4 linked regions of the Arabidopsis thaliana genome follow. The protein of the gene in region 2 interacts with the protein of the main gene of each other region in a pairwise test. Each region holds a gene or a part of one and is shown on either strand. Other genes may lie near its edges. The genes, in order: GAMMA-TIP, AT1G22570, NHX3 and AT5G15240.

The links.
Region 1: the proteins of AT1G22570 (region 2) and GAMMA-TIP interact in a protein complementation assay, tested with the Arabidopsis thaliana proteins (one large-scale study listed by BioGRID).
Region 3: the proteins of AT1G22570 (region 2) and NHX3 interact in a protein complementation assay, tested with the Arabidopsis thaliana proteins (one large-scale study listed by BioGRID).
Region 4: the proteins of AT1G22570 (region 2) and AT5G15240 interact in a protein complementation assay, tested with the Arabidopsis thaliana proteins (one large-scale study listed by BioGRID).

Annotation. Positions count from the first base shown.
Region 1 is NC_003071.7:15,443,424-15,447,167, reverse strand, and holds GAMMA-TIP (gamma tonoplast intrinsic protein), read right to left. Parts: upstream 1,875-3,744; 5' UTR 1,679-1,874; coding exon 1,295-1,678; intron 1,204-1,294; coding exon 832-1,203; 3' UTR 547-831; downstream 1-546. UniProt on the Arabidopsis thaliana protein: Water channel required to facilitate the transport of water, diffusion of amino acids and/or peptides from the vacuolar compartment to the cytoplasm. Does not promote glycerol permeability. May play a role in the control of cell turgor and cell expansion.
Region 2 is NC_003070.9:7,975,878-7,980,462, forward strand, and holds AT1G22570 (Major facilitator superfamily protein), read right to left. Parts: upstream 2,934-4,585; 5' UTR 2,697-2,933; coding exon 2,573-2,696; intron 2,571-2,572; exon of another isoform or gene 2,505-2,570; coding exon of another isoform or gene 2,492-2,504; coding exon 2,274-2,491; intron 2,178-2,273; coding exon 1,618-2,177; intron 1,539-1,617; coding exon 743-1,538; 3' UTR 547-742; downstream 1-546.
Region 3 is NC_003076.8:22,468,691-22,474,328, forward strand, and holds NHX3 (Na+/H+ (sodium hydrogen) exchanger 3), read right to left. Parts: upstream 4,017-5,638; 5' UTR 3,896-4,016; coding exon 3,731-3,895; intron 3,621-3,730; coding exon 3,502-3,620; intron 3,405-3,501; coding exon 3,307-3,404; intron 3,199-3,306; coding exon 3,139-3,198; intron 3,041-3,138; coding exon 2,994-3,040; intron 2,913-2,993; coding exon 2,718-2,912; intron 2,638-2,717; coding exon 2,591-2,637; intron 2,486-2,590; coding exon 2,419-2,485; intron 2,323-2,418; coding exon 2,222-2,322; intron 2,138-2,221; coding exon 2,036-2,137; intron 1,774-2,035; coding exon 1,629-1,773; intron 1,514-1,628; coding exon 1,451-1,513; intron 1,340-1,450; coding exon 1,256-1,339; intron 1,160-1,255; coding exon 863-1,159; intron 705-862; 3' UTR 555-704; downstream 1-554. Other genes in the region: AT5G55460 (Bifunctional inhibitor/lipid-transfer protein/seed storage 2S albumin superfamily protein), read left to right, coding at 8-323, 430-443; SVL1 (SHV3-like 1), read left to right, coding at 5,587-5,638. UniProt on the Arabidopsis thaliana protein: May act in low affinity electroneutral exchange of protons for cations such as Na(+) or K(+) across membranes. May also exchange Li(+) and Cs(+) with a lower affinity.
Region 4 is NC_003076.8:4,945,717-4,950,982, forward strand, and holds AT5G15240 (Transmembrane amino acid transporter family protein), read left to right. Parts: upstream 1-1,860; 5' UTR 1,861-2,045; coding exon 2,046-2,187; intron 2,188-2,858; exon of another isoform or gene 2,859-3,279; coding exon 3,280-3,890; intron 3,891-3,976; coding exon 3,977-4,495; 3' UTR 4,496-4,694; downstream 4,695-5,266. Other genes in the region: GASA4 (GAST1 protein homolog 4), read left to right, coding at 128-309; FTSH6 (FTSH protease 6), read right to left, coding at 4,695-5,042, 5,116-5,266.

The sequences.
Region 1 (3,744 bases), on a different chromosome or scaffold from region 2:
AGACATTAGGCAACGTCAAACTTAGCACCTCATCGAATCATGTCTTGATTTTGGTCGGACCTGTTTGACAAGTATGGTTGAGACTTGAGATCTCTATTGCAAAACAATCTTACTGCTTAAAATAAGTAAAAGGAAAACAGATTAATCTTTCTCATTGGATCTTATTTTTCTAAATTCACACCCTTTGCAAAATGCAAATACAAAGCAACATAAAAAAAAGAAAAGCCGTATTCACTATTGAGTATTGATTGACTAGTAACCCTCACTGACTGACCCCTACAATATCATTTTATTCCCTTATTGCAAAACGCCAACCATTCCAACTTTCAAATTTTTACATATACATATGGTGAATTTAATTTGTCTTCTTCTTTTTTTTTTTTTTTTTTTTTTTTGTTAAAGATATGGTGAATTTTGTTAGACGTAAATAGATCGAAACTTGTATCAAATTCTAGTTTTTTTAAAAAATATATATAATTATATATCATATTTTTTTATTACTCATAATTTGTTTACTCATTTCTTATAAATTCGGTCATAAATAAAGTTAATGTGTAATAAGACTGATGTGGAATTTAAAAGTTTGACAAAATGGCAAAAAGAGATATTGCAACACTTGAAAACTTAAGATGAGATTGATACATAATTCACATTATATAGTCGAAATTGCAATGGCCACTCTTGAAACCAACGGACAAGGATTCATCTAAAAGATCGAACGATCATAAACCCCTTGATGATTCGAAATTACACAAACGGAAATTAAAAAGACATTAAAATTCAAATTCAAAGTCGAATAAAATTACACAAGAGAGAAAAAGAGAGATTAATTCAGTAGTCTGTGGTTGGGAGCTGCTCGTGTGTGGTGTTGATGAAGAAAACTTCGTAGATGAGTCCAGCGATTCCACCGCCGACGAGAGGTCCGGCCCAGTAGACCCAGTGGTTGGTCCATGTCCAGCTCACCACCGCTGGTCCGAAAGCCACGGCGGGATTCATGGAGGCTCCAGAGAAAGCTCCTCCAGCTAAGATGTTGGCTCCAACAATGAAACCGATTGCGATGGGAGCAATTGTTCCAAGACTCCCGTTTTTGGGGTCAATGGCTGTAGCGTAGACGGTGTAAACAAGCCCGAATGTCATCACGATCTCGAAAACGAAAGCGTTCAACACTCCTACTCCAGCAGAGAGACCAAAAGCCGGCACAGCCTAAAATTTTCAAAAGGTTAATTAGTTACTTGACAAAGAAGTTAGGTCCAAAAAGAGATCTAATAAAGGGCTAAAGGGTAGTTTGACATACCAAGCCACCGGTGGCGAATTTAAGGATGAGGCAAGCGACGACGGAGCCGAGAAGCTGAGCAATCCAGTAGAGGATACCACGGAGGAGAGTGATGTTACCACCAATGAAAGCACCGAAAGTGACGGCAGGGTTAACGTGTCCACCAGAGATGTTGGCACCAACTGAGACAGCGACGAAGAGTCCAAAGGCATGAGCCACTGCAGCAGCTACGAGACCAGAAGGAGTGGTGGCTCCGTTTTCAGTGAGCTTGTTGAAAGCCATGCCAGAGCCTGAACCGGCGACGACAAAGATCAAAGTTGAAATGAACTCAGCCAACGCCGCCTTTAAGGCATCGGGACGGGTGGCTTCATCTGGACGGCCAATGGCGATGTTTCTGATCGGCATGATCGGACGGCTGAGATTTAAGCTTCAAGATGCTAGAAGAGTGGGAGATGGATTTGATGATTTTTTCTGGTCTACTATGTGCTCTTACTTATATCTGAGGTGGCGCCATTTTGGTGACCGGTTACCGGATGATATATTATTAATATTTGGTGGAGAAATTATTTGATTGGAGCGGTTAGAGATTTAAATAATTTTGAAAACAGGCTAAACAAGTACATCGCTATAATTCCAGCGAAGCGGAACCGACCAATCTACGTGGCGGATAATGACTTGTCATGTTTGTACATGTATAGAGCTTTTGTCCCTTTTTCATATTCTCTCTCTCGAATGATCGATAGTTCTAGAGGAAAATAATACGATTTTATTCTTGTTTTTCTCCAACTATTTTGCTAAGAGGTTTTTACTTGATTAGTGGTAGAATTTAGTCTTGATATATGTGTGGTAAAAATACTCAACTGAGTATACGGAGCAAGCTCCAAAACAAAAATTATAACTAAAGATGGTTACTAAAAATATTTCATATCTAATCTATAGTCATTTGTTTCTTCCTTACTTATAATCTGTCGTTGTTTTTTTGTTATAATGTCGTTGTTTTCTCTTGGGTCTTTATTCTCGAAACATAAATAATTCTGTGTAGATAAGTCACGGCTAGTTTTATGAATTTGATATTCGTATAGTGACATTACATGCTAACCATAAGTTATGATATTTTTTTATATTATCGCTAAGTAGAATTATGTAGCATAAATGATATTCAATGCCAAATCACTACGCTTTATTCTAATCGCAATTCTTTCAACTCGCTCTCCAAGTATACGAGAAAATTATAAGATGTTATCTTGTTTGTGGCACCAATTTTTCTGTGATTATATATTTATATTGTTTGTGGCACCAAATTTTAACATTCGAGACAATCTCACATTTTTTCACAATCATACAGAAAGATTATATATTTATTTTAGCATTTTATTTTGTGGGCCAATTATCTATTGGGCAAAAAGTATTGTGTGACGGCCCTCCACTTAAGGAAAAATAATAATTTATGAATGTCCTACCACCACGATGCAATCTGTCCCTTTTGGGCGGTTTAGGTTTACAATTCGGCTGAGAGGTACTGCCAGAAAGTGATTAATTTCCAAACAAAATTTAAAATGTCATATTATTTATTTAAAATAATAATAAATAAAAGACGTGATAATTTCGTTTTTCTTTTGTTTAATTTGATCTTTTTTTTTTTTAAATATAATACTACAAATTTTAACAGTGTGCTAATTTTTATTTATTTTACAAGCCTTGACAAAATAGTTGAACCATTTTGAAGTTTTTTGCACAGTTCGAAGTTCATACAACTGATCCAATTTTCTTTATATAAAAACAGAGCCCGCAGATTTATATAAATTGGAAGGGATTAAAACGATTGCTTTTTTTTTTTAACACATGAAACATGAGTCGTGTGTGTGTAGAGAAAATTATAATACGATACCAAACCAACTTTCCTATCAACACGGGACAAATTTGATATCTTTTTTCTATCATCTCTTTCAAACATACTGTGACCTGTGATTGATAAACATGTGAAACTTTTCCTTTGATGTAAGTCGTGTGATTTTAGAACTACCTAGATTGGGGTGGATTGTTAGGTGGATGATCCATTGTTTTTGCCTTTTTGGGTGGTTCACATAATGAACATTGATGGTGCACAACATCAACTGGCATGAATACTGCGTACAATCACGAACGTTCTAGTGACAATGTTCCAGTATTCTTTTACCAACCACATGTACGTACTTCTCAAAAACATAGCTAGTAGCCGAAGTATTTTCAAAACGCTAGCTAATCATCGGAATTCCTCATATATTTGGTGACACTTTATTGATTGGTGCATTTCCTTGTTGACTTTTTCTCCTTCTTATTTAAAACTTGATTGAGAACAATCATTTTTGGACCGTTTACCTTACCTTTGTATAACTAACTAAGATTTCAAAGCATTAACTATCTAAAAACGTTGAAAGAAACCAACCGTATACGTGGACATAATTAAGTCGTTCAGTTTTATGAACGTTACT
Region 2 (4,585 bases):
TCTATAAATTAATACTCGATAAATTAATAAACACGATAAATTAATAAATTTTGTCGGTCCCAAGTTGGGCCAATATAAAAATTAATCAAAATCGATAAAATAATAAGATAATAATTTTTTTAAAATCCCTATGTAAAATTATAGTCCCAATAATATTATAAATTAATAATCATAGATCTTAAGTATATATCTTAAGACTAATTTTTATATGAAATTTTTGTTCAAACTAACTCTTTTTAAAATACAACTGATATGATCTCTGTTGTACTCACATAACTATTTGCGTATTTGATCCGTCATAGTTGATTTTGTAAAATCTTTTATTTGAGAAAGCATTGTTATGATTTGTGTAAAGAGAAACTGGATTAACTTTCATGTTTACGTTTACGTTCACGTTAATGTCGTAGATATACAGATACAAATCTTGACGAAAATAAATTAAAAAAGTCAAATTAAAATAAAAACCTAACATAATTATATATGCAAACAACAAAGCATATAGAAAATTACATTAAAAAATATTTTTAAAAGAATATAGTATTGTACTTTACGTAAATATTTCTATAAATTAATATTTATTAACTTATACGATAAATTAATATTTATTAATTTAGAGGATAAATTAATATCACTATAAATTAATAAAATTTCATGGTCTCACCATTATTAATTTATAGAGTTTCTACTGTAATACTCTGAATTCTTCTTACCAAAAAAAAAAAAAAACTAGTACTCTGAATTCTTAGACTTGGTCTAGCCGACGATACACATACATCTTGGAGATGAACAAGAACGCAAAGAAAGCAATGGCCGTGAAAGCAGCGAGCAACCAATAAAAGTAATCCACATGGGCTCGGTTCAAGTTAGAGTTGAACCAGCCGTCTTTTCCCGTAGCCCAATCAATCAAACTGATGAGAAAACCACTCAAGAAGCTTGAAAGACCCATCGCACTCAGAGAAAGCGAGAGACCAATGCTCCTTAGCTCCGTTGGGACTTGGTCGTAGAAGAATTCTTGTGTTCCCACCATAGAGAACAGATCGATCATCCCGAGTAGCAAATACTGAGGGACGAACCACCATATGGACATTGGAACGGTCACGTCCGGCTTGTCCACTAGCCCGTGTTCCCTAGCGATTTTTAGCCGTTTTGATTCTACTAATGCAGCGAGCATCATATTGAAGACTGAAAGCACCATTCCAGCTCCTATCCTTTGGAGCATTGTGATCCCAAAAGGCTTTTTGGTAATCTTCCTAGCTATCGGGAGAAATACACGCTCATATAGGGGCACTGAGATGAGAATAGATACACCAACGAATGACAATAAAGAAGCCGCTGGAATTTCTACTCCCGGTAAGATTCTTCTGTCCACCGTGACCCCTTGCTTCGTGAAGAAAGTTATGTACTGAGCGTACGGAATCGTGCTCACCACGTATGTGATCCATATCGGAATAAGCCTTACCAAAGCCTTCGCGTCATCCACGTCCCTACCACTACATGGCTCAACACCTTCTCTTGAGATCATTGCTTTTGCTAGGAAACTTGTCACACAAGGTAAAGAAATTTACACTCAAAATTATGCCAAAAGACTAAAACAAAACACAAAATATTCGAACTTACTTGAGCCGATCTTTACGTTTCTCGGACTGACCATCCTCCAATAGACCTTGATCCAATTCCAAACTAGAATGTTCTAACCTCAGTTTCCGATTCTTGAACGCAATAACAAAAACTCTACCGATTCTTGCAAAAGTGTTACTACTATTAACCTCCTCATGATGTCCCTTTGGGTATCTATATATCTTCCTCCCGAGCAAGAAGATAGCAAGAGCCATAACCATAAACAAACAAGGAATCCCAAACCCAAACGCCCAATTAACATTTTCTTGAACATAAGCGACCACAATAATCGATATGCTTATTCCCGCAGATAAACTCAAGAACCACCAATTGAAAAACGACCCTCTCGCTATTACCTCCTTCGGATCTTCAGCATCAAACTGGTCCGCACCAAACGCTTGAACACACGGTTTGTGTCCACCTTGTCCGATCGCCACCAAATACAGAGAACAGAAGAAAAGTGTATTAACCCAAATAGATGGTTTAGCAGAAGCGTCGTTACGTTGCTTAGATAATCCCATTATGATTAAAGAAGCTGATAACGTCAATAGTCCTAGCCCCTGTAATAATAATAATCCTCCAAATTCAGCTAAAATCCCGGTTTAAATCATACAAAGATCAAACCGGTTTAACTAGAAGAAGACAAAAGTACTAACCAATATGTAGATGAGGGAAGCTACGACAATAGTACGGTAACGACCAAGATAAGCGTCAGCTACGAAAGCTCCTAAAATAGGAAGTATAGAGGCAGTTCCCGACCACGTGTTCACGTTCACGGCAGCTTTCGCCGTCGATTGTCCGAGAGGTCCGGTGAGGTAAGTAATCAAATTGCAGGCAATCCCAAAGTAAGCAAACCTCTCTGCAACTTCCACACCTAAACAAATCATTTAAGACTGGGACTTAGAAGTTTAACTAGAAAAAGAAAAAAAATTGGATTGTTTCTGATGTGTTTTACCTATAATGAACCAGGCCGATCTCCATCCGCCGGTGGAAGATTTTCCGGCGGGAAATCCACGGTGGTCGACGGAATCGCTAACGTAATCTTCTAAGAGTGCAACTTCTTCCTCTGGTATCTTCATTTCTCTCACCAATAGAGGTTGAGAATCTCTGTGAAAACTTTTTAAAGGGTAAATGCCTAAATGAGATTTTTAAGCTAAAAGATCTCTTTGTCTTGCGCAACTAGTGAACACGATTACATTAATTTATGATATTTTGGGTAACTAAACTTTCTAGTCTTTCTTTTATGTGTATCTGTATATTTATTGGCATTTGAGATGAGTGTACTATACGCGTTAAAAAATAAGTATGCAATTACATTATCTTATTTGTATTTTTATTTTATATAACTTTCCGATATTATTGTATTATTACGCAATAATACGCATACTTCCTTTGGACAAGTGATACACGTACGAGCTAGATATTTGCCATGTTTTGTTTTGTATCAGCAAATTCTTTTTGTCATTTTTTTCAATCAAAAGTCAACATCAAGGGTAATTTGATTGATCACGACTTATTCTTAAAATTAAGTTATAAAAAACATGTAACTTAGTGATGTACAATTGTTATTTGAGTATAAATGTTGATAGAATATTTAGATGTTTTTGGGTTGGATCGACCAAAAATCCATATATCATTCAAGCTCTTAGACTTAGGCTTAGCTAACCATAATTTTGACGTATCATTTTATTTGTAAATTCACTTACTTTTTAGTCACAAAAGCAACATAATTGATCACTATTATTTCAAAATTAGAAAATTCGTTAACAATAAAAAAAATAGACAACATTTGTATAAACATTTTACATTTGTATAAATGCTGAGACTAAATCAATAAGTTTTTAATTTGGAATATTTATTATGTAGTTGTATATTTTTCTTTCTCCTACTTGGCTAGTGGCTACTTGCATGCTCTTTGGTCCGCTTGTTGCGGTGTTCCGTATTTATGATCGAGTTATTCTTATCTCCTGATTAGCTGTCACTTCATAACTTCTTTTTACTTGCAAGTTGCAGGGTAATATGAATGTATTTGTTCACAGCACAAGACTATACTCTCCACAAATCAGCAAAATACATTCTACACGAATGTTTCCTTTTTTCTCAAGCTGTGGTCACTAAATTTTATTTTTTGGCTAAGATGTTTGTGATAGATCAGTCAAATAGTCAAAATAATATTTGTTCATAGCAGAAATAATCTCCTGTATTTCAGTTTTGAATAGTCAAATATAGATTGATTCTGATAAAGTTGGAAACCTTATCAGCTTTGGACACACAAAAAAAAGTCTTATCAGATATGTTATCGCGCCAAGCAGATGAGATGGATTTTGAATGTTACTTTGTCTTTTCATGTGTAATAGAAACAGAAAAATTCGGATTACTCAAATTGTTGACAATTTTTCGAGTTTTTGAAAGTCGCATGCTTAAATTATGTTGGCAACAATTTTCAGCATACTGCTGATTGATTCATATTTGGTGATTACGTTTGTTTCGTTGATTGTAGATTTGTTTGTTGAAGACATTTTTTGTTCTTGGGGGTTGATGTAGTAAATGAATATTAAAATCTTTATATTATTTGCATCCACTTGAGGATAAGATAATATTGTTGTCTTGCTGAGGAACGTGTTATACGTGTAGTACGTGTATAACTTGCGTTCTCTGAAATCATTCATTTAAAAAAAAAAACCTGCGTTCTCTCCTTTCTTACTACTCTCGAGTCTCAAACATTCTCTCTTTTTTATAGGCCCAAAATATTTCGAAATCAAAAGGGGCCGAAATACGGGCCTAAATAATTTGTGTGAACCATTTTATCATACATGGTTGCTAAGTTGCTATGATGTCGTATCCTTAGGAGTTAGGATTGGTACTCACGCCTAGACTGAACGGCGTGACATGCGGAAGATCGATAAATGGCATCATGACCTAACAATATTGAAAGGATCGAGATATGTAATATCTTTAAGCTCACGAA
Region 3 (5,638 bases), on a different chromosome or scaffold from region 2:
AGAGAGAATGGATACGAACAATACCAGAACTGTGAAATTTGCAGCTCTTGCAATAGTTTTAGCCGCCTTGGTGTTGATGGAAGAACCTACGAGCATTACCGCATGTAACATCAACGCAAACCATCTGGAAAAATGTCGTCCAGCCGTAATTGGAGACAACCCGCCATCTCCAATCAAAGAGTGTTGTGAACTCCTCCAAGCCGCTAATCTGAAATGCATCTGCAGATTCAAGTCTGTTCTCCCCGTTTTAGCGGTTTACCCATCTAAAGTCCAGGCTCTTCTGAGCAAATGTGGCCTGACAACAATCCCTCCTGCTTGCCAAGGTAAAATCAAAATACCATTAAGATACTAAAAACCGGTAGACTAGTAGGATCCCAATATGAAGTATGAAGTAAAAAAGGCTTACGTTTTGCTGTTCTGTAAGTGCAGCTTTGAGGAACTGAGATGGAGACAGACCGTTCTAGCAGACTTCACTCGAACTTGTCCTGCAACTGATCTGAAGTCTTACAATATGTCTTATGTTCCGATCCAAATAAATTACAAACTCGCAGTAATAATCGCAGCTTGTGTATATAGAAGAACCTTGTTGTATACATTTAACAAAAACTTTAAGAAACTGTTTTAGCTAAACCAACTATCCTACTTTCTTGACTATAAAAAAAACTAACTCATCATGATTTCCCCGCGGAGAACCCGGATCAATTCTGCAACACAAAAAGAGAGAATTGTTCGCTTATCATGATGAATATTGTAGGCACCTCTTCCCGGATGTACTTATTAATTCCGGTTACACATTATTGATCAAGTGAGGTGCGTTTGCTGCAAAATGTATAAATTTGTGTGGTAATAATGGAGGGTATACCTAGCATTCTGGTTGGTTTTCTCGACGAGGTCCACCGAAGATAGGCCTCATGTATGTGTCGTCAAACTTTCTCCAGTAGCGGTGGATGGTGTACACAGGTTGTTCCATCAGAAGGGAAATACTATCTTTAGCTCTATTGAAGTTGGTGGAAGCAGACTCGTCAAAGGAAAGAAGAGGAAGTGTCGCATCTTCTTTCGGAGAACCTGGCTCAGTGCGTTTACCTCTATTTCCGGTGTTGTGACTTGCATCTTGAGGAAGGAGATAATTCACAAGTGGTTTTGTGAGGAAACCAAAGACCTGTTTGTTACATGACAAAGAAGTCATTCTTTTGATCTTAACACAGAAAACTACCAGAACCAGTAGGGCCATATACTAAGGTAGTATTTGTTTTACCAGTGTAGTAAAGAGAACAACGATAGTGGTGTTGGTGACCATGGCAGCATTCACAGGATCCAATGTAACACCGGAGTATGTGAACTTGGCACATGAAAGATATACCAAAATGAGATATAATGGAAATGTTACTAATTCAATGTAAAAGTAATACAATAGAGATTAGAGATAATATGAATGTGCAAAGAGAAAAACCTGCTTGAAAGCCAGAGCAATTGAGACAGCACCTCGCATTAGACCTGCCCACCAAATGATCACCTATAAAGTATACAAAGAGAGAATTATATAACAGAAACTTTCCCATTCTCGGACCATTATTAATTTTTTATTTTAGTGCTTCTGATAATGTAACTGTAACAAACAAGAGCTAAACCTGATGCTTAAATGTGATAGACTCGTTTCTTTCAGTGTGCCTGTTCATGAAATTTGTTAAGACCGAGAGTGGAAAGACAAATGCTGCTCGTCCAAGCAATACTAATGCGGTTATGACACCGGAGACACCCAGAGTACCCCCAAAGCTGCAAGAAGATGATTAATGTTACAAGTCTTCATTGGGAAGAGATTTCAGAAACAACGAGTCACCACCACAGCTTAACTAACAGTTAATTGGCGATTAACTTCGTGTCAAGAGAGAAGAAGACATAGAGGATGTCTTTGGGATAATCTTGATTCTAGGTATGCATTTAAGAAATACACGAGGTTCATATCAAAATGCTGTGTATTGTTTTGACAAAACACTCTAAACGCTCTACCAGCTGATAAATGGATACGACTTTATACCTTAAGCTGCTTGTCTTCCACTTTGTAAAATCAAGAGCATCTGTTCCAACATACAGAAATATGAATGTCTCCGCAATAAAGGACAACATTGCAAATACATGCCTGCAAAATATAGATGCACAGTCAGACAAAAGCAATTCCTGCAAATTGAGACTTCAGCGAATAAACAATTGTCTGATACATTGCCTGGAAGTGATTCTTGAGCTCTCTGTCACGTTATATGATGCATAATGCGACATTAAAACACCACAGAAGAAAACAGTAAGAATTCCACTTAATGAGAAGAGCTGCAAGAGAACAACTATATTGAGTTAAAACAGAGAAATGCAGCACTTCAATTCCAAATGAAAACTAAAAAGTAGCGTTCATGACCAGTGTATTACCTCAGCCAACATATATGAAAGGTAAGCCATTAGAACCATGATGGCGAGTTCGCGTGTAGTAGAATGTCTGTCAGCAACCATATAACAAGATCAATATAAAGGCACATCTTATCACTAAAAAAAAAAAACTTAAGCTTGAGATGAAAAATTTGCAAGTTTGGTGTACTTTTACCTTCCAAAATACAAGGTTTTAAGAACAAAAGATGTTATTAGCCCCACCTGCAAGACATTCACAGTTCTAAGATTACTCATGATATGCTTCAAACAGAGTAAAAAACTATGCCAACTCAATAGCTTACACCAATTCCGAGAAGTGTGCTTGTTGAGAAGAGGTACAAAAAGTTCCCAAATACTTGCAGCGCCGTCCAACCGGTTAGGCTTTCAAATTGAATCTTTTGCACGGCGTTGAACAGTACAACTGAGGTTGCATCATTCACCACTCCTTCTCCAAAGACTAAGCTGTATAGCAATGGTGTTTCATCTTGATGGAGAATCTGTAAAAGTTTAAGATGCAATGTAAGAAAAAACTTTTAATAGAAGAAGTAGTAAGACAAAGAATCTTCTAAATCAAGAACCTGTAGAGTGCAAACAGTATCAGTTGATGAGAAAATCGTTCCTATGGCTGAATCAAAACAAGAAAGCATTCACTCTCGCAAACTGATAAGTAATAACCATCTCAACAAGAAATGAAAAGAAACATAGATCAGTGAAAAATCTTACCAAGATAGTCTCTAGCACTCAACCCCTTAAATCCCAACTTGGGAAACAGCCACCAAGTCCCTGGTTCACATTATAAAAACAACAAAAATAGAGATGGTAACAACTCCGAGATAATCAACTTTAAATCATATAGTCAAGTCATTCAAAGATTAATGAAATATTTTTTACCAAACGAGATAATGACAGTGGAGATGAAAACTCCAATCACACCAAAGGACATGATGGTTAAAAAGTTGTGAAAAAACTTCTTTTTCTTAACTTGGAACCTGCCACAACAAACCAAAAAATCTTCAGTCAATCACCATCATAGTGTAATCTAACCCATTAACCACAACATAGTAACCAAAACCATAGTAAGCTTACCCAGCATTGAAGATTATTGGAGGAAGAAGGTAAATGAAGAAGAGTTCTTCATCAAACACCAAAATATGTGAACTTTTTCCTTTACTAATAAGTAAGATCACTGTTCCTGATGCTGCTCCCTACTTGCAACAAAACCAATCAAAAATAGTGATAAAATTGTTCTTTAAGAGCAGAAAAGCTCAAAACTTTAGCTAAAACAAAAAAAAGAAGAAATTTTGAAGAAAATTACTACTAAAATGGCGGTAATAGATTCATTAACCCATCGATTCTCTTCAAGCAAGTGGCCGATAACTAAACATAGACAGAGAATGGCGATGAACACTGAGATTGGTATCACCTGAGGATGCTCAGCTGCTAGTTTATTCGTCACAAACTCTGTTAATCCGATACTCATTTTTCACTCGATAATGTTTTCGATTTCGTCGATTTTGAAAACACCAATCGCAAACGAAGAAGGCACACAGAGAACGATAGAGAGAGAGACGAGGAAAGAGTCAGAGAGTGAGGAGAGATTTGAACTGCGATGAACAAGGCGGTGGTTACAGGTGGCGAGGAGACGAAAGACACGTGGCATGTTTCCAACGTCATCAGACTGAGTAAACGTGAGGCTTTTTGGAATTGTACTGCATCTTGGGCCTTTTTAGGGCCCAAAACTAACTCATCATGTATTTTTTTCTTACCGGATTTGGGGATTTTTTTCTTTTTTCTTTTTTGGGTCTAACTAACTCGCGTAAATTGTTGTTCTTTTTCCTTAATTTATTTTTACCTCTTGTTCTTTATTCTGTTTATATAAAATTATGAAACTTGAAAACTCAATATTTATTACAACGAATTATTTGGTGAAGACTCGAACCAATCGAAATAAAACACTCTACTGAGTAACGGTCCCGGTTGCAACAGCCAAGACGCTAGAACGTGATCGTTTCGTTTGGTCGTGTTTTGATGACGTAAAAAGTGACTCAGCGACCTATTTCACCACGTGTAATCTTTAACGACCATGTTCTAGGACCTACCTGACTTTTAATCGATCATCCACCACCGCCTTCTCAACATTTTTTAAGATACTAGTATCATTATAGCTATAATATAAATTAAGAAACTTGTAAATATTATAATTAACGTGAAAACATAGAATTCGGATATATAATGTGTATATTAGATAAATAATAAATCTGCTCATATGTGATATGTATATGCATATATCATATATGTAAATGTAGCCATTATTGGAATGCGTATTGGGTAATGGGTAGTATCACTAGAATGATACAATTTTTCTTATATACAGAGAAGAGAAGAGGAAACAAGAAAAACAAATACGTTCCCCGCAGTAGACTTTTTATTTGTTGGTACCGTAGAGGAAAACAGATATACACCAATTACTATAGGAGTGATTAAGGGAGAAATTGCAGGGATATAATTGATATCTAATAGCCGTTTCTACACTAATCCTAATTATAACAAGACCAATGATTGACACATGTATATTGCAATTGCATGCATTATATAGTTTATTATTATGCTTGCTTATAGTTTAGCTGGTTTTGGAAACAAGTAGGTAGTAATAAAGAAAAACAAAGAGAGAGTAGGTCGTAATAAATGAAGAACGCATAACTATAAAAAATAAATACACAAATATATGTAAAACAATTGTTTGGTTTCTCTAGGTTGGAGACAACCAATCAAAAAATTATATTCTAATTTAAAATAAAACTTATTTAGTTATCCCATGAAAATTAAACTCTTGTATTCTCAAAAAAAAATTGAGTCAAAATTACACTCCCAATATTTTCTGTCTGCAATAAAGATATGGAGACACATTGAAAAACATTTTAGTTTATTTATGAAAAACCAAAAAAATAAAATTTTAGTTGATGTTTTCTTTTTAAAGTGGAAAAATGTGTCAAAAACAAAAAGTCGAAGTTCTTTTGTTTTCCCTTTTAAAATAATCAACGATCATATAAATTCGAATCCCACAAACCAAAAAGCTCTCTCTCTCTCTCTCTCTCTCTCTCTCTCTGAGTAAATCTCAGTTTTTGGTCGAAGTTGGTGAAGTCGCCGCCGGGACAACTCAGGTTGTTACAGATGATAAACATGCGAGATAATCCAACAATGCATGTCTTACAAGCTTCAAAGT
Region 4 (5,266 bases), on a different chromosome or scaffold from region 2:
ATCTTGAGACCCACAAAACAGTAAAAAAAAAAGCTAATGAATTTCCACTAGATTCTGTTGTTTTTATTAGTAATAAAAAATTTTTGAGTGTTAACATTTTGATATTGTTTGTATTTGAAACAACCAGAATGCCCATCGGAATGTGATAGGAGGTGTAAAAAGACACAGTACCACAAGGCTTGCATTACGTTCTGCAACAAATGCTGCAGGAAGTGTCTCTGTGTGCCTCCGGGTTACTATGGGAACAAACAAGTTTGCTCCTGCTACAACAACTGGAAAACTCAAGAGGGTGGACCAAAATGCCCTTGAAAAAATCTCCCTTCGTTCCCTTTTTATAATAAAAATTTTCAACTATAACTAAATTTCCTTTGATCAATGTTTTATCTACTTTATTCCTAATGTTGTAATGTTATGTCACTCCTTTTCGGATTTTGTTCTAAATCCTAAAAAAAATGAGAGTGGCCCTATGAATGATATTTTTCATGAATACTTGTGTTTCTAAAGATATTTTCCCATTCATCCACCAAAAAAAAAGATATTTTCCATTTCGAAAATAGTAATACTATAAAGGGTAAGGCAAACCAAATAATACAATTTAAAAAATTCCTGCGAAAGAAGTATGCATATGTAGAAAAGAGTGACATTGGGTCTCTCGGCCCAGTACTAAAAAGCCCATTATTGATTTTTCCAAGCTTTTTACAAAATCACGTGTTCTAACGCGATTGCTTTTTGCCGCAATCTTCTTTTATACAAGACTTGGGCTTTGGGCAGTTGGAAATAAATAACGACAACGATATTTTACAATCGGTGCAATGATATGAACCACAAACTTATAAACGTTTTACCCGTTCATTACCCTACGTATCAATAAATACTCTTAATAATGCCTTATATATTGACATTAATCGACAAGAAATATGAGGTTTGGAGTACAACTATAGTTATTAGCATTAACAACAAAGCTCAATTTAGCTCTCTTTGTTAGACATCTCACATGCATTTTGAATGGTGATCTTGAAGAAGATACTTTTTTTTTTTATCAACATGTGCATGCTATTTTTTCACAAGCACAACATGGGGAAATGGCCGGCAATGAGTATTCTTCTTTTCTAAAGAACTCATTTTGTAACCTATAAAAGTTTTTGGTTTCGATTTCTGAATGAAAACATATTGGATAACTGTAAAAAATTTGCAGTATGGTTTTAATAGTAACGAAAATATATAGATATATATGTCGATATTTTCATTATTGTTAGAACTACTCGGCACCTTGTAGAACATAACTGTAAACTAGCGTCAAGATATTGATTTACGTCAGATCAAGGCTATTCATACTTATCTACTCTTTAGGTCTGGGGATTCACTTGTCAACTATTTTTAACAAACGACAACAAAAAAATATGTGACGATTTTTCAAGTGCTCCAGTCTCGTCCAACAGATTATTGACATGATATACTACTTTGGACCATGTATTTTTATGAAAATTTGATCCCTCTTCAGTCTTCACCGAAAGAGGATTTGGTACTTGCATTCTCTCTATCACCTAAGTTAAACGCCCTAACATTAAAGTGGAAAACTTCGTGGAGTTTTATTTTCTCTCTTCCTACCAATTTTCTTATACAACTAACATTAAATTCTAGAACCACACAAATCGCAAATTATGGTAGATTTGTGTGTAAGTGGTTATAATTTTTTTCTATATAAAGAGTTGCACTTAAATTTCAATTAGTTTCTAAAAACCCCATCCACGAATATTTAATTGGTCAATAAACATTAAATAGAATTCCACTGCCACGCTAATATCGTGTAGATATCATATGTGCATGGATACTGCATAAAAATCAGCTCTAATAATTGATGTAATTTAAAAACATTGACCCTAGTAAATGTATTAACACTATATATATTGCCTTTTGAGGGTTTCTTTATTGTTTACTTCCAAGTTCCAACTTCTCTCTATCTATTTCCTTCGTCTCTCGATCTCTCCGTCTCTCTCTCTTTGTCTCTTCGATATCCAAAGAGCAGAGTCAAAGACTAAACAAGTATGAGCGAGGACAAAGATTACATGTCGGAGCCATTTATCGTTAAGAAGATTGATGATGAAGAATCATTGCTTGATGATTATAATCCACAGGGCAATACTTCTTTCTCCAAGACTTGTTTCCATGGCATTAACGCCTTATCAGGTTTAATTTCCTCTTCTTCTTCTTTTTTTTTTTTTCTATTTTCATTTTCGTGATTGATTTTTTCTTTTTGATTTATTCACCACTTCTTCTTATCTCCAAACTCCATAACTCACGGGGAAAGATCCAACTCTTAGCATGTCCACATATATGGATAGGATATATCTTAATTTTCAAAATAATCTAGAAAAAACTATAATTAGCTTTATTGTACTTAATTTCTATAGATGCATGTTTTTAACTCAAGCTTTTGACTTTATCTTGTATCATCTAGATTGGTGTGTATTTCAATCCTACATTTTGTTTCTTTACCTCCTAGTCTTGCCTCAGTTTTTTTAGTTATTTAATTTTTCTGTTGATAATTTATCATAACCAAGTTAAAACCAGTTCTACTTAGACTGAATTGTGTTTTTCTTCGTCTAGATTCAGTTTCATAGTCTTTGATAAACAATAGTGCTAAATAACCAAATCATTTTTGTTCTGACTATTAAAGGTTAGGATGGTTCCGTTTAACTGAATTTAACACTATAGTATTAACAATTCGGCAAAGTTTTCAATGACTATTGCTATTATTTATTCGCTAAATGTGGTAATGGCCTAATAATGGGTTTATCAAACTGGCCGCTATCGTTGTACTTAATTGTTTATATACCAAACTAGATACTTAGTTTATACTAAAAAAACTAATTATATACTGGAAACACGTCTGACCAAACTAGACCAAACTAGACCATATACGAACAAAAAACAGTCCATATAATTAAATAGAAAGAAACCAGCAATTCCAATTATCTTTCAGATATAAATACAACGTGTCACTGAACAAAACCTTAACACATTAACAACACGTCTTCCCTTTTCAATTTGTGTTCTTCTTCTTCTACAAGACTACAAACCACTTTGATAAAATCAAATCATATTATCTTATTGGTAACGAGACCACGAATATTTCTTTGCGTTTGTGTTTTCAATTAAAAACTGCGTTTGCGTTTTCATATATACAAAAAGAACGTTTGTAAATAGTTAACACAAAAAACGTTAATTAGCATATGCGTTAGGCTTGGACATTCTTCTGATCAACTCTTTTTTTTTTAGGTGTGGGTATATTATCGGTCCCTTATGCCTTAGCATCCGGAGGATGGCTAAGTTTGATCATACTTTTCACCGTAGCGATCACAACTTTCTACTGTGCCATTCTCATTAAGAGATGTATGGAAATGGATCCACTTCTTAGATCATACCCGGACATTGGCTACAAAGCCTTTGGAAACACAGGACGTGTTATCGTCTCCATCTTCATGAACCTCGAGCTTTACCTAGTTGCAACTAGTTTCTTGATCCTAGAAGGTGACAACCTTAACAAACTCTTCTCAAACGTTGGACTCAACTTCATGGGGCTTGAATTCCAAGGCAAGCAAATGTTCATCATCATGGTGGCTCTCATTATTCTTCCTTCGGTTTGGTTAGACAATATGAGGATTCTTTCTTATGTTTCCGCGAGTGGTGTCTTTGCTTCCGGGGTTATTCTTGCTTCTATCTTTTCGGTTGGAGCTTTTGAAGGCGTAGGGTTCAAGAACAATGACTCAGAGGTCTTTCGACTTAATGGAGTCGCTACTTCGGTGAGCTTATACGCGTTTTGTTATTGCGCTCATCCAGTTTTCCCAACTCTATACACTTCCATGAAGAACAAACGCCAATTCTCAAACGTAAGTTTTTTACATAACGGATCATTAGGTTATTCTTGACCAAAACTCACACTAATAATTTTGCATATTTTTTTTAACATTTTCAGGTTATGATTATATGTTTCACAATATGCACCTTCATATATGCATCAGTGGCGGTATTGGGTTACTTAATGTATGGATCAGATGTTGAATCACAGATCACTTTGAATCTTCCTACTGATAAGCTTAGTTCAAAAGTGGCGATATGGACTACATTGGTCAACCCAATAGCTAAGTTTGCTCTCATGGTTACACCTATTATTGACGCAATGAGAAGCCGGTTTTCTCGAGTTTTGCCTAATAAAAGAGCTTCTGGATTTTTGCTAAGTACAATACTAGTTACTAGCAATGTGATTGTGGCATTGCTTCTTCCGTTTTTTGGTGATCTTATGAGTCTTGTGGGAGCATTCTTGAGCGCATCCGCATCGGTTATATTGCCATGTTTATGTTACTTAAAGATCTCTGGGAAATATCAAAGACTCGGATTCGAAACATTGGTGCTCATCGGAATCACTCTAACCGGTATCGTGGTTGTGATAACCGGAACTTACCAAGCGGTCAAGGACATTTTTGGTCGATTTTGAAATCCCAATAGGTGAAGTTTAGCTTATAGAGTATTTGTTTAGGAAGATATTTGTACTACCAACAGTCCAATACCATAATTTGTTTTATTTGATTTTTTGTGACTTTCGTTAACGAAGTTTTTTTGAGTTATGTAATAATTTGGAATGAGAAAAATGTGAATACGTTAAATGAAGACATGAGTTGATCTAGGTGTCTGTATTAGACACTAATCAAGTCATTGATTCGAATTCTTACATCGCCATCGGTATTTAACGGTTGATCAGTATACTCAGACAGAATTGCTCGAAACTCGTCTCCCGTTAAGGTTTCTTTCTCCAACAAAACATCAACAAGCTTGTCTATAGCTTCTCTATTATTCCTCACGTGCTTTTTCGCAACCTCGTAAGCGTCACCGATTATTTTCTTCACGCAAGAATCAATATCCTCCGCAAGTTTCTCGGACATTGAGTTCCTCGCTAGCATCCGTAGAACCACATCGTTTTGCTTAACCGCTGGGTCGGTTAGTGCCCATGGACCGATTTCCGACATACCAAACATCGTCACCATCTGAACCATAAGAATAATTAGAAAATCCACCGTTTTTTTCCGGTTTATGAAAATTTTGTTTCAATTACTGTACCTGTCTTGCTATCTCAGTGACTTGCTGGAGATCACCGGCAGCGCCGGTGGTTATCTCCGGTTCTCCAAAAATTACATCTTCGGCGGCTCTGCCTCCGAGTCCTCCGACGATTCTAGCGAACAATTGCTGTTTAGACACCAATGTCGGATCT